Mus musculus: one gene and its partners. The protein of the gene in region 3 interacts with the protein of the main gene of each other region in a biochemical or structural test. Links are inferred from orthologs where the notes say so. Each region holds a gene or a part of one and is shown on either strand. Other genes may lie near its edges.

The links. The genes of interacting proteins can lie anywhere in the genome.
Region 1: of the proteins of Mapt (region 3) and Mapk8, one has a biochemical effect on the other in vitro, tested with the Homo sapiens proteins (2 studies listed by BioGRID). The link is inferred for Mus musculus from reciprocal best matches to the Homo sapiens genes MAPT and MAPK8.
Region 2: the proteins of Mapt (region 3) and Actg1 form a complex in vitro, tested with the Homo sapiens proteins (2 studies listed by BioGRID, with this or other methods). The link is inferred for Mus musculus from reciprocal best matches to the Homo sapiens genes MAPT and ACTG1.

Annotation. Positions count from the first base shown.
Region 1 is NC_000080.6:33,444,356-33,448,483, forward strand, and holds the start of Mapk8 (mitogen-activated protein kinase 8), read right to left. Parts: upstream 2,804-4,128; 5' UTR 2,660-2,803; intron 1-2,659. UniProt on the Homo sapiens protein: Serine/threonine-protein kinase involved in various processes such as cell proliferation, differentiation, migration, transformation and programmed cell death.
Region 2 is NC_000077.6:120,345,693-120,349,858, forward strand, and holds the start of Actg1 (actin, cytoplasmic 2), read right to left. Parts: upstream 2,804-4,166; 5' UTR 2,733-2,803; intron 2,406-2,732; 5' UTR 2,400-2,405; coding exon 2,277-2,399; intron 2,184-2,276; coding exon 1,944-2,183; intron 1,845-1,943; exon of another isoform or gene 1,800-1,844; intron 1,722-1,799; exon of another isoform or gene 1,658-1,721; coding exon 1,219-1,657; intron 1,127-1,218; coding exon 945-1,126; intron 842-944; coding exon 698-841; 3' UTR 1-697. UniProt on the Homo sapiens protein: Actins are highly conserved proteins that are involved in various types of cell motility and are ubiquitously expressed in all eukaryotic cells.
Region 3 is NC_000077.6:104,229,931-104,234,239, reverse strand, and holds the start of Mapt (microtubule-associated protein tau), read right to left. Parts: upstream 2,805-4,309; 5' UTR 2,633-2,804; intron 1-2,632. UniProt on the Homo sapiens protein: Promotes microtubule assembly and stability, and might be involved in the establishment and maintenance of neuronal polarity.

The DNA.
Region 1 (4,128 bases), on a different chromosome or scaffold from region 3:
TCCATAATACTGGTCATGGATTATGATCCTAACTGTATTCATTTTGGTACAATTTATTCTTTAGCTTGGGACCCAGAACAGTCTCAAACTCATCTTGCCTTGGACTCCCAAATCCTGGGATTACAGCATGCGCCACCATTTGTGCCTCAGTTTACTCTTACACTAATCCCTTTCCAGCTAACTTCTCTCAGGATTACAAGGAGCAGGAAGCATATAGTTTCCTAGTCTGTCATGCTGATAAAACTCACTAAGGTAACATATTCTGTTCCTTTCAAACACCAGACAGATTATTTTTAAAAGGGGTGGGGGTTCTTTGTGCAAAATGATGACCCAGAATAGTATAGTAGTGATGAATGCATAATTAACAAATAAACCACTAAAAAGTATACTCTATAAGGGTAACTCTTTTATGTGAATTAAGTATCAAAAAAAAAAAAGCTGTTTAAACAACAGAATTTAGAAAACAACCTAACTGAACCTTTGTAGAGTCTGAATCACTCAAATAATTTCTTAATTCTGGAGTCCCTTCCAGAACCCAATATATTTAACAAGATAAAGCAATAAAAGTTTGCTGTCTCAAGATCTATATCTTATAGTAACAAAGTCATGTTCTTATTTTTTTTCATTCCTATCTTACCAGTAAATAAGTTCATCTGAACTACTTTCATACTGAAAAGATACTTTTCAAATAGTGGAAATGCACCAAAACTTGGATTTTTAAACCCATATGCTTTGTGAGTTGGTTAAATACAAGTTAAGATTTAACCTTTCTAGTAAGCACCTCTAAAGAAATTAAGCAGCGCTGAACTACTAGAAATATTTGTAAGATACATTTACATGTTGATTTTCAAACTTAAATCATCGAAACCCTTGTGAAATAATAGTCACAAAAAGATAAATATGGCTCACTGGGTAAAGGTTCCTGGAAGCAGGGGAACCCAGTTCCATGTCCAGACCCCACAGAAAGGTGGAAGAAGAGAATGAAGCCCACACAGTTGCTCTTAGGCTTTCACATGCACACAGTGGCATGTGTGACCCCACCCCACAAAAACATCATGCAGGCACACCCACCGTCATAAGTTTTTTTAAGGGAGATAAATGCAATCATGCTAGATTCTTAATGAAACATCACTGTTGTGTCTGGGTGTATTCATACATGACTAGAGAAAGCTCTTACCTAAAATACTAGAAGTGGACAAAGTTCTCAACTTTGATGACAGAGTACCAAGTAAATCCCCTTTATCTACAAGACACTGTAAGTGTTTCATTTGGAGAGTTTGGAGCATCTCTGACTTTTAAGTATGGCTACTCAACTTTTTATGACTATACACACAAGCCATAATCCTCTATTTTATTAACTATATAGAAAAAAATCAGGAATAGTTAACCTAGAAGTGAAAAAGTGATTCCAAACCCTTTGGTGGTCTTTAACAGGTAACATCCTCTATTAATTTATGATCTAGCCAACTGAGAGTGGTATGTGACACATCTGAAACTTCGTGGAGAATTTAAGGCTTTATTTTAAATTTTTGTCTATAAAAGTCTTTCAATCAACCCAATGAGTATGACTTCCATGCTTGGTGATGGGGAAATGATGCAAAATAGGCCTCTAAGTACCATTTTGATTACTTCGTCAGACACAGAAGTAAACCTTCCAAGTTTAACAGCCTCAATAAGAGAACTGAAGTAACCATTACCAATGATACGAAAATTGACAAGGGGGGGGTGGGATTTAAGAATAAAGGTAGTATATTTAAGCCAAACCTGGATATTCTTCCTAACACTATCCTTGGAAGTTCCAGTCAAATGAGCCAAATACCTTACTTAACATACATCCCTTACATAATCGTCTCATTTAAAGGCACATCTATTCTGTTCCATACTACCCTAATTTTTAAGGGTCTTTCTCTTGGCCTTCACATCTTCTCCACCTGGATACAGCACTAACTGTTGCCAAATGAATGAATGAAATAAACATGTTCTAACTGACCAGGTACTTGGTGGAAGCTGATCTCAAAACACAATAGACCGGCAGACCAGAATTCTACTGAAAAGATCACTTAATTTCAGAAGTAAAAATAGAAACTACCGGACACTGTGCAGTCAACATGATATTAAATTCCCGGTGGGATGGGAAACTTTCGGGAATAACAATGTAATGCGTTCCTTACGGTACTTTACAATGGACTTGGTTCTACCTTGTCTGGACTAGGAACCCAAGCGCAAGACAAAGGGACAGCGGCGGGGGAAAGTCAAAAGGTCAGCGGCAGGCGCCCCTCTCAAGGCGCGGCCCGCAGGCCGGCGCGCTCGCGGCCACCCGGCTCTTCTCGGCGTCGCGGCACTCACGTCCGCACAAAGAAACCGCCCACAGTCAAAACACGCTCCCCGTGGGTGCGGGAGACGTATGCACGGTCGCGTCGGCCCGACCTCCGCGGGAGCACCTCCGAACTTGCCGCCCACCCGCTCCATTTCCCCCCGCGCGACGTGGAAGCCGGCCGGAGCGGTGAAGCCAGGTCGCGCGGAGTGGACCACGCCCCCCGCTGCCCCCGCCGCCCGCGCTATTGTTCCCGCGCCGCCCCCGCCCCGCGCGCGTTCCCGGGAGGGGGTCACGGCCGGGGAAAAGCGGCGGCCGCCCGAGCCGCGGCGCCCGCGCACTCACCCGGCAGTGCAGCCAACGGCGACCTGGAAGCCCGTAGCGGAGAACGGCGCCGTCCTGCGGTGGCCGCGGCCGCTACTCAATCCTGTTCGCGGCTCCGCGTTTCGGCCGCAACGTCCGGCCTCGGCCGCTCCGCTGACTAACAGAGACGCGGGCCGTCAACGCGCACGCCCGCCCACGTCATCGCGCAGGGCCCCGCCTCCGCGCCGGCGAGCGGCCTAGGGGCGGGCCAGCCCCGGGGGCCCGGATTACGAGGGCGTGGCCCCGCGACTTGGGCGTGGCTACACTGGGGGGCGGGCTGCAGTAGCGGAGGTTTTCCCCTGAGGGCGGGGCCGCGAGCAGCGTCTGGGCGGCCGCGTGTGAGGGGCGGGGCCGGGAGCAGCAGGGGGCGGGTCTGCGATGGCACGTGGCGGCGCGTGGCGGCGAAACACCAGTCATAGCTTAAGCCTGCATGGTTGCTAGCCTCGCGGGGAGGAGGGGTTAGTGTTTGAAGGTCAGGCACGCGTGCCAGGGCACACACCTGAACCACGGAGAGTCCTGGTTTGACAGATACTCTTCAAGGGCCTACCACCCACCAAGGAGTAGATGTTCTCTAGCTCCCTGGAAGAAGTTACCTCCTTTTACCCCCCAAACCCTCCTGCTCCAGATTTTTTGCCTTACCTGATTTACCTGCAAGTCCTTGCGGCTCTCGCAAATATTAACTATTCACGGATAAACTGACGAGCCTCGACAATGGATGGAAAGGTATTTAAATCACTATCATTCATGAGGCAAAATATATTTAGCACTTTAAAGAGTTCAAAGGCATTCTCGCCAACAACGGAGAATATCACTAAGAGAAAGAAGCAACACATACATATAGAATGATTCTACGTTTATATAAAATATATTACATGCACAGTATATTAAACTTGGAAAAAAAGTATGACAATTGCTTTGACAGTAGGAAATAAAGGGCAGTCTCTCTTACACCTGTGTAGTATACTGTGATTTCCAAAATATACAAATATGTATTGAGTAAATTCAGGTAGACTGTTCCCATTACATGTTAAAATGGTCTTTCTCCAGGGATGCTATCATGAAGCAAATGTGAGCACTCATTCATTTATTCTCCCCCCATTTTATCTCTCAGCAATTTTTTAATTTTAATTTCTTATTTCTCCAGTAAATATTTTATTGCTTGCCTATTCTCTTAAAGGCAGTGTACTAGCACTAGCAATAAGTAGAACTTATAGAGAATTCTTGTGGTATCAAGATAATAAACTATACACCAAATCAAATCGACACTAAAATGCAAATTAAGGACACATCCAACTATGAAAGGAACCAATGTATTAATAAGGCCAGGAAAGCCTTCTCTAAGGAGCTGCCTCCTAATTTGAGAACAGGTTTGACCAGGGATTATGTCCGAGTTAACTTGATGTGCGAACAAGGAGTTCCAGAACGGGGTAGACTGGGAAAACTGAAGACAG
Region 2 (4,166 bases), about 16 Mb from region 3:
GTTACTGCAGCACTTTTATTTCTTTACACAATGACGTGTTGCTGGGGCCTAATGTTCTCATTGAACAGTAGAAAACCAAAATTTGTCATTTCTTAAAGAATTGAGTACAAAAAACCTTACATAAATTAAAGAATGAATACATTTACAGGTGTCGATGCAAACGTTCCCAACTCAAGGCAACTAACAACCGATGGTGGTCAGGAGGGAAGAAACCAGAACTGAAACTGGGTCCTAAGGCTCGGACTTTCCCACCCTGTTAGACTGGCAAGAAGGAGTGGTAACTGGTTCAGGAACCCTTGCCAGCCTCAGGAAATCCTGGAAGTCTGCTGTTGGTTAATACCCTGCACAGATCACTCAGTGGTGCTCACAGAGATCCACCAGGCTGGGGCTTTCTCATCTACAGCGTGCTCTCCCCAGCCCCCAAGTGACCGAGCCACATGAACTAAGGACTAAATCAAGATATGCACAGGGTATTAAACATATACCAAGGGAGCAGTTAACTTGAATACAAGGTCAAAAATCAGCAACAAGTTCTACGATCCAGTGCTGATATCAGATACAAGCTTCAAGGACAAATTTCTTTTCAAAGGCTTATTCCAGTTTCATGAGGCTAGCATGAGGTGTGTACATTTGCCAGGGCAAATTGATACTTCAATATCAGCTCATGCAGCAGATGCCTGGCACCTGCTCAGTCCATCTAGAAGCATTTGCGGTGGACGATGGAGGGGCCTGACTCATCATACTCCTGCTTGCTGATCCACATCTGCTGGAAGGTGGACAGTGAGGCCAGAATGGAGCCACCGATCCAGACTGAGTACTTGCGCTCAGGGGGAGCAATGATCTGTGGAGGAAAAACACTGAATGAGCACTCATGCCCTTCCTGTGGGTCCCACTTCCCAGCCACAGGTCCTAAGGCCAGCTCAGGCCGGGTGGTAGCCACTCACCTTAATCTTCATCGTGCTAGGTGCTAGGGCTGTGATCTCCTTCTGCATCCTGTCAGCAATGCCTGGGTACATGGTGGTACCACCAGACAGCACTGTATTGGCATACAGGTCTTTGCGGATATCCACATCACACTTCATGATGGAGTTGAAAGTGGTCTCATGGATACCACAGGACTCCATGCCTAGGGAACAGAGCTCATTTAGCCACTACATTCTGTGTGTTCCATCCCTTCTGAGAGCCCCTTGGCTCCTAAATCATGTTGTGGACACCTACCCAGGAAGGAAGGCTGGAAGAGTGCCTCCGGACACCGGAACCGCTCATTGCCAATGGTGATCACCTGCCCGTCGGGCAGCTCGTAACTCTTCTCCAAGGAGGAAGATGATGCAGCAGTAGCCATTTCTTGCTCAAAATCCAGGGCAACATAGCACAGCTTCTCCTTTATGTCACGAACAATTTCCCTCTCAGCAGTGGTGGTAAAGCTGTAGCCCCGTTCAGTCAGGATCTTCATGAGGTAGTCTGTCAGGTCCCGGCCAGCCAGGTCCAGACGCAAGATGGCGTGGGGAAGGGCGTAGCCCTCATAGATGGGCACTGTGTGTGTGACCCCGTCACCAGAGTCCATGACAATGCCAGTGGTGCGCCCAGATGCATACAAGGACAGCACCGCCTGAATGGCCACGTACATGGCTGGGGTATTGAAGGTTTCAAACATTATCTGTGGAAAGACAAAGAACACCTGAGTGAGTGAGTAGCAGGGGCCCTGAGCCTCCCACACCCACACTCTGCATGCTGCATGCCACAAATGTGATGTGTGAAGAAAAAAAGAACAGAACGCAAGCAGAAACGCAAACAGAAACCTGGAGGCTTCAGGGAGGAAATGCCAGGAGAAGAGGAACAGAACCCTAGAAACACCAAAGAAACGCTTGAATGTCAGGAAATGAGGCACAACACAAAATGACTCGTCACGCCCAAGGGGAGGCAAGGTCCCGGCTCAAGCATACCTGCGTCATCTTCTCTCTGTTAGCTTTGGGGTTCAGGGGGGCCTCGGTCAGAAGCACCGGGTGCTCCTCAGGAGCCACACGCAGCTCATTGTAGAAGGTGTGGTGCCAGATCTTCTCCATGTCGTCCCAGTTAGTGACAATGCCGTGTTCGATAGGGTACTTCAGGGTCAGGATACCCCTCTTGCTCTGGGCCTCGTCACCCACGTATGAGTCTTTCTGGCCCATGCCCACCATGACGCCCTGCGAGAGAAAAGGCCGCGGTCAGACTCGCCCCACCCACCGCGCGACCCGGGCCCAGAGAGAACACAAGGGAGGCCACTCCTCTCAACTAACCTGGTGTCGGGGGCGCCCTACGATGGAAGGGAACACGGCCCTGGGGGCGTCGTCGCCAGCAAAGCCGGCTTTGCACATGCCGGAGCCATTGTCAATGACGAGTGCGGCGATTTCTTCTTCCATTGCGATCTGCGCAGGAAGAAGCCCCGGAATTAGCGCAGCCCTCACCGAACTCAGAAAATGTCCTCGGCCAGGGCCGAGCCACCCCGGAGGAGTGCAGTCCCCACCCCGGGCGGCGTAACCGTCGGCTACCGGCAGCGCCCCGTTCCGCCGCGGCGAGGAGGGGCTGCGCATTGCGTCGGGCCCCGCCCTGCCCCCAGCCGCGGCTGCAGACCCAGGCCCACCCGTCAGGCGCCCTGCGCTCCGCTCCGCTCCGCAGCGGTGCGGCAGGCAGGGTGAGCGGGAAGAAAGGGCCACAGGAAGTCACTGGGCCAAGCCCGGGGAGCGGCAGCTTACCGGCGAAGGACGCGGCGGCGACGGAGGAGCGGCAAGAAGCGCAGTGTAAGCCGGCGGCGGAGTGTGAGACCGACCGCGGCCTCCCCCGCCGCTATTTAAGCGGGAGCGGGCCGCGCGCGCGGGCGGGGGCGCGCGCGGCCCCAGAACATGTCCATATATGGCGATCTTTCCAAAAGCCGGGCGCCTATTGGCCCGCCCGCCAGGGACACGTGGGGCCCGGGCCCGCCCGCCCCTGGCCCGCGCCGCCGCCAACGGCCCCGCCCGCGCCGCCCCCGCGCGCTCGCGACCCCGGGAGGCCCGGTTCTTGCTCGCGGGGGTCTCGGCGAGTGGCGTGCGTGCGATCGGCCCTGCCCTGCCCCGGGACTGCCGCGTAGCAGGGAGGGCCCGGGCTGCGCCCCGAAACTGCCAAGCCCGGGGCGGGCCGCGCCCCGATCTGGGGTGAGTCCCGTGGCCCCCGCCCCTATGTGAATCCTGTGCCCCGCACACCCCCCAGGACCTTTCTCTACAGGGTCCGTGTGTGCCTGGCTGGGGACGGGCTGGAGGGATTCCCGGGGGTCCGGGGAGCGGCCATCACATCCCAGTCACGTGGGAGAGGGTCACCAGTTCTTCCACTTCAGCCATGTCCCTTTATTGGAGGAGGGGTCGTCACGGGGTTGGGTGTCCCTGGGCATCAAAGAAGGTGGTGGTGGTGGTGTGAGTGGGCATTGTGTTATGCTGGCTTTGCGGGACACATTGTAGGGAAACTGAGGCAGGGGAAGTCTCCCGACTTTCAGGATGGTCCAGCCCCGCCCCCCGCGTGGGTCAGCTGGCGAGACTCCTCTCCACTGATTATGAAGTCCGGGTCAAACTGGTTTTGGGCACAGAATGCTTAGGCCTTAGTCCCCTCCGGACAGGCGTGGGGGGCGGGCCGGCCTCGCTGCCCTTCTCCCGGCTGTTTGGAAACTTGTCACCCTTAGCAGGGTCGTGGCGCTGCCGTCCTAGATGGTGCCTGAAGAGAAAGCTGGCACGGGAGTTAACCGGGTTTTATTTGTAAGCTTCTGGAATGGTTCATTGTGGAATGAAGCGGAGGGTAGCAGTGAGGTGAGGGACTCCAAGGTCACAGGGCACAGAGCTTGATTCGAGCAGGTACGGGGTGCCACTCCCACCCTATGCACAGGCGCTCTCAGGCAGCCCTGCAAGGTCAGCTCCCCATCTGAGACATGAACACAAGACCCAGGGGGACCAAGCAGCCTGCCCTGCTTACCTGCTGGCCATAAACCCGTGCCAACACTCAGTCACCTTTTGTGCAACATCAGGCCTAGAAAGAAGGGCGCTGGCCCTGTGGTTGTACAGAGGTGCCTGTCAAATGGGAGCACCACCCATGAGGGGGATGCAGGGCTGGACCTCCAGGACCCCACCATGAGCCTACAGGAGCTAACAGCTAACTAACACTTG
Region 3 (4,309 bases):
CTTGGCCAGCACAGTACCTCACTCGACCCCTCAACACAGTGCAAAATGGGAGTTCGAAGACGCTGTGATCTGAGCTTTGTTTCTGCACTGGGTAAAACGTTCTGTCTCCTCCCCCTCCCGCTGATTTTTCCGCTGTGACACCTTTGCCCAACGGGCCCGCTATAGTCAGCCCCCCCTCCCAGCCTTCCCCTTTCCGCATCCAGCCCAAGAGCCTGGCTTCTTCTAGCTTAAGAATCCTGTTCCCAGCAGCCCGTCGTGTGGCGAGGGATGGGTAGTATTTGAACCTATCTTTCAGATGCTCGCGAAATTTCTGCCAGGCGGGCCCGGCCACGATGCCACAGCCTCAGGCCGCGGTTTGATCGGGAGAGGGCGTTCCACCCCCAGCCTACATCAATCTGAGTGAGCAGTCGACGTGGGCAATTCGGCCCTTAAGAAGCTCATCCATCGGTCTCAAAACTGCTTACCCGCACCAGTATTCAGCGGTAAAATTAACCAGAAAACCTCGAAGACCGAGCTTACTGTACGGTGGGGAGGCTGGGACCTCTTAGCTTTCTATCCCTCTCTGGTTTCAAGGGCTGTTGTAGATGTGGATTTTTTTAAAAATGAAAGTCCCTCATTTAAATGATATTAATAAAATAATATCAGTCAGCACGCTTATAATAAAATACATTAGAGGCATCTCTCTCTCTCTCTCTCTGGATGGCTATGGTTGCCAGTGCCAAGAGAATGATGCTCGCATCAGGGATGAGGGGCCCCTTCCTCGTGTCTTCCAGGCACTATCAGACTACCCCAGGATTCTAAATCTCCGCGGAGTAAGGGGGGGGGTGGGAGGTAGGGGGTGGGAGGTAGGGGGTGAGGTAACGCCCAGAGGTTCCTCCTCTGGCTGGTGTGGTTCCTATGGCAACCCTTAACCCTCTCTCCTTGGGTTGGGAGGGATGGGTGTGGCCGCAGTATCCCAGGGGATCTCATACCCTCTCCTCACACTCTCCCACCGGGAGAGGCAACAGGGTTCAACGGTGGTGGTGGTGGTGGGGATGCGGAGTTGAGCTTGCCGAATCTCCCCATTCCCGAGGGTTATCTGGCTCCCCTAGCAGTGAAACACAAGTGGGGTGTGGTCCTCAGGATGGCCTGGGTGTGGGGAGGGATGTGCTTCCTCTGAGGGCTCCTGCACACGAGAGTCTATCTCGAATCCCACCCATGTGGCTCTGGGTCGAACTGGGGAGTGGGCTGCCGCAAGTCTGTAGATCCAACAAAGGGTCTGAAAAGAGTGGCGAAAAAAGGATGGAGCTGCTCCGAGTGCGTAGGCAAATATCCTCGTCGAATGAAAGCTTCCCGCCTCCCCCCGCACACTCCCCCAAAAAACCAGGGCTGGGAGCGCAGATCCTAAATCACACGACGAACAAAGCAGCGAGCTCCCCTAGACGACCTCAGGTGAACGCTCTGGTGCGCACCGCTGCAGAGGCAAAACGCCAAGGCTTCCGTGTTCATCACCCCCTGTTCTTTAACATGGGTCCAAGCCGGGTCCTCCAAAGCCTGGCCACAGCTCTTGGCATGCTACGATAGAGACGTGACTCGCCGCAAAAAGATGGCACCTCGCGTTCAGAGAGGGGGGAAAAAACGGAGAGGGGTGGCAGCGGGAGGAGACACATCGTACTCCCCCCTCCTCGCCCACCCAGGTCCACACCCACTGCCGCAGTGAGGGGCGAGCCCTGCGCGCCAGCCCGCGCCTCCGGCAGGGAGCGCACATGCCGGGAGCCCGGCGCAGAACGCAGAGAAAGAAACGCGCCCCGAAATGCACCTGCAGCCCTCGCGTGGGTCTGTGCCTGGCTGCAACGCTGCGCGCCCTCGAGCGGGGAGCCGCTGCCAGCCAGCCCGCTGACACCGCGAGGCCAGGTGACCCCTGACTCTTCGAGCTCCCACATTGGGATCCGCGCACTACCTTCTCTCGGGCACGGCGCTGCCCCTGTCACTGTACCAAGCGCGCGCAGGGGGAAGGGCGACTAACGTGACAGCGCCTGGACCCCTCCCCATCCTCCGGATTCCTCCCAGCCCCCAAATGTCCCCTGCCGGCTTCTGAAGGAGGAAAAGGGGAGGGGGCGGGCCACCGCCTTAAATCAGGGCCAGTGAAGGCCGTGTCAGAATCGCTGTCAGGGAGGTGGAGAGACATGAAGGCAGTCATCTTTTCTAGAACCCGATCCACACCTTCCTTAGGGCTGATGGCAATCAGGAGCAGAGAAATCCGATTTCAGGTTCTGTTTCGGGGGTCGTCGTTGGACCCCCATGCACACTCACAGACCCACGCCCATTGCGGCAAAAGGCTGAGATCCAGATTACAGAACAACCCCTTCCCTAGGTCACCGTCATCCGCGCCCCACCCTGCGGGCACAGCCCCCCTCATTTGCGCGGAGCCGATAGTGGGGACCCCAGCACTCATAGATACACGCATTCGCTCGCGTGCGTGCATCTCTTGCACGCGTTCCTTCCCAGCTCCCCAGCGCCTAGGGCGCAGAGAGGCCCCCGCCGTTGCGCCTGATTGATGCCCAGCTCCCTAAATCCATCTCTGGGGCGAGGGGTGGCAGGAGGACGGCGCACAGGGCCAGAGGGGACTGGATTTCAGAGCTGCGGCGCTTACCTGATAATCGACAGAAGGCGAGGACAGAAGAGGACAGCGGAGGAGAAGGTGGTTGTGGCGGCGGCGGCAGAAGGTGGGCGGTGGCGGCGGCGCTGCTGCTGGTGCTGGAGCTGGTGGGTGGCGGAGACTGAGAGCGCGCGCGGCCGAGAAAGCGCGTTCTGGAGGCCGGCGGGCAGCGCAGGCGCGAGCCACGGGAGCGCGAACCTCCCTAGGGGAGGGGCGGGCAGCGAGGCCTGGGCGGGCACCTCCCCTTCCGACCGCTAGGGGGCGCACGCGAGCGCCCCTCAACCCTCCTCTCTCCGCGCCGCTCGGCTCGCCCCTCTCCGCGCTTCCCTCCCCGGGTCCCGCCACGCCTCGGGCCGCGGTGCTGACCGCCGCGCGCACGCGCATTCCGTGGCGCACGCGCACCCGGCCTCCCGGGGCTGCAGCCTTTGTCTAGTCCAGGGGTCCCCTCCCTCGGTCCCCGCGGGGTCCAGGCAGAGCGGTGTGTCGGTCATCGTCCGCTTTTCAGTTCACCCTCGCTGGCTCTCCAGGCGGTACACCGTGAACCCCAAGTGCTACAGGCTCCCCGAGTCTCCTAAAATGTGGCCCTCCAGATAGAGCGCACTTTCTATTTCCAGGGCCAGCTGTTCGCTTGCTTTCTTTCCACCTGTTTTTGTTAATGGCCAAAGTGAATGATTTCCTTGACAAATCTTCTCGAAACAGATTAACTTGACCGTAATACACTTTAGCGTTTTCGTGGAAAAACAATTGTTTTTAAATCAAGGAGCATTCAAACCCATTAGGTATCTTGACTGTGACCCTAGCGAAGAAAAATCTTTAAATAGGTAAGTTCTAATGATGCTTACCACACACACTGCAAGGCATTTTCACAGAGTTATTTTTATCTCGTTTATTGAAACACCTTTGTACAGCGTGAGAGCTGAATTTTTAAGGTGCCTGCTGGAGATGGCCACCTGCTGGATGTCAAGCTTCCGGTTGAAATTGGTCATTAGTTCTCCTTCCAGCTACGTAGGCGTGGGCTGTGGCTTTAGCTTAATATCTTACCTCCCCAAAGCTCAATTCTCTTGGACAGCTGGAGCCTGTTCAAATGCAAGGAAGAGAGACAGGCACCTACTTCTTGCCAAAGAGGCGAAAACTTGTCTTGAAGCTTTCATTTGCATGCCGTTTTTTCTTTATTTTTCAAGGCAGGTTCTCACTATGTTGCCCTGGCTGGCTTGGAGCTCACAGAGATCCCCTGCCTGCCTCTGCCTCTAGAGTGCTGAGATTAAAGGTGTGCACTGCTATCCCAGCAGTTGTTTCTAAAACTCCAACGTTGTACCTGCTCGGTGTGTTGGCTCACATCTGTAATCCCAGCATTCAGATAGGCTGAGACTTGTTCAAGATCAGCCTGGGCTATATAGCAGAATCCAAGCCAGCCTGAATTGTATTACAGGGTGAAAGTGAGTCAACAAACAAACAAACAAACACACTTCTGGGCTGGGGGGGTGGATGGTTGTGAGCCACCATGTGGTTGCTGGGATCTGAACTCAGGACCTTCAGAAGAGCAGTCAGTGCTCTTAACCCCTGAGCCACCTCTCCAGCCCCCAAAATAAAATTTTGAGATAACTTTGGGTTCAGTTTTCTAGCACCACAAACATTTTTTCCCATATGAGCTTAATTACTGAATTATTCTGG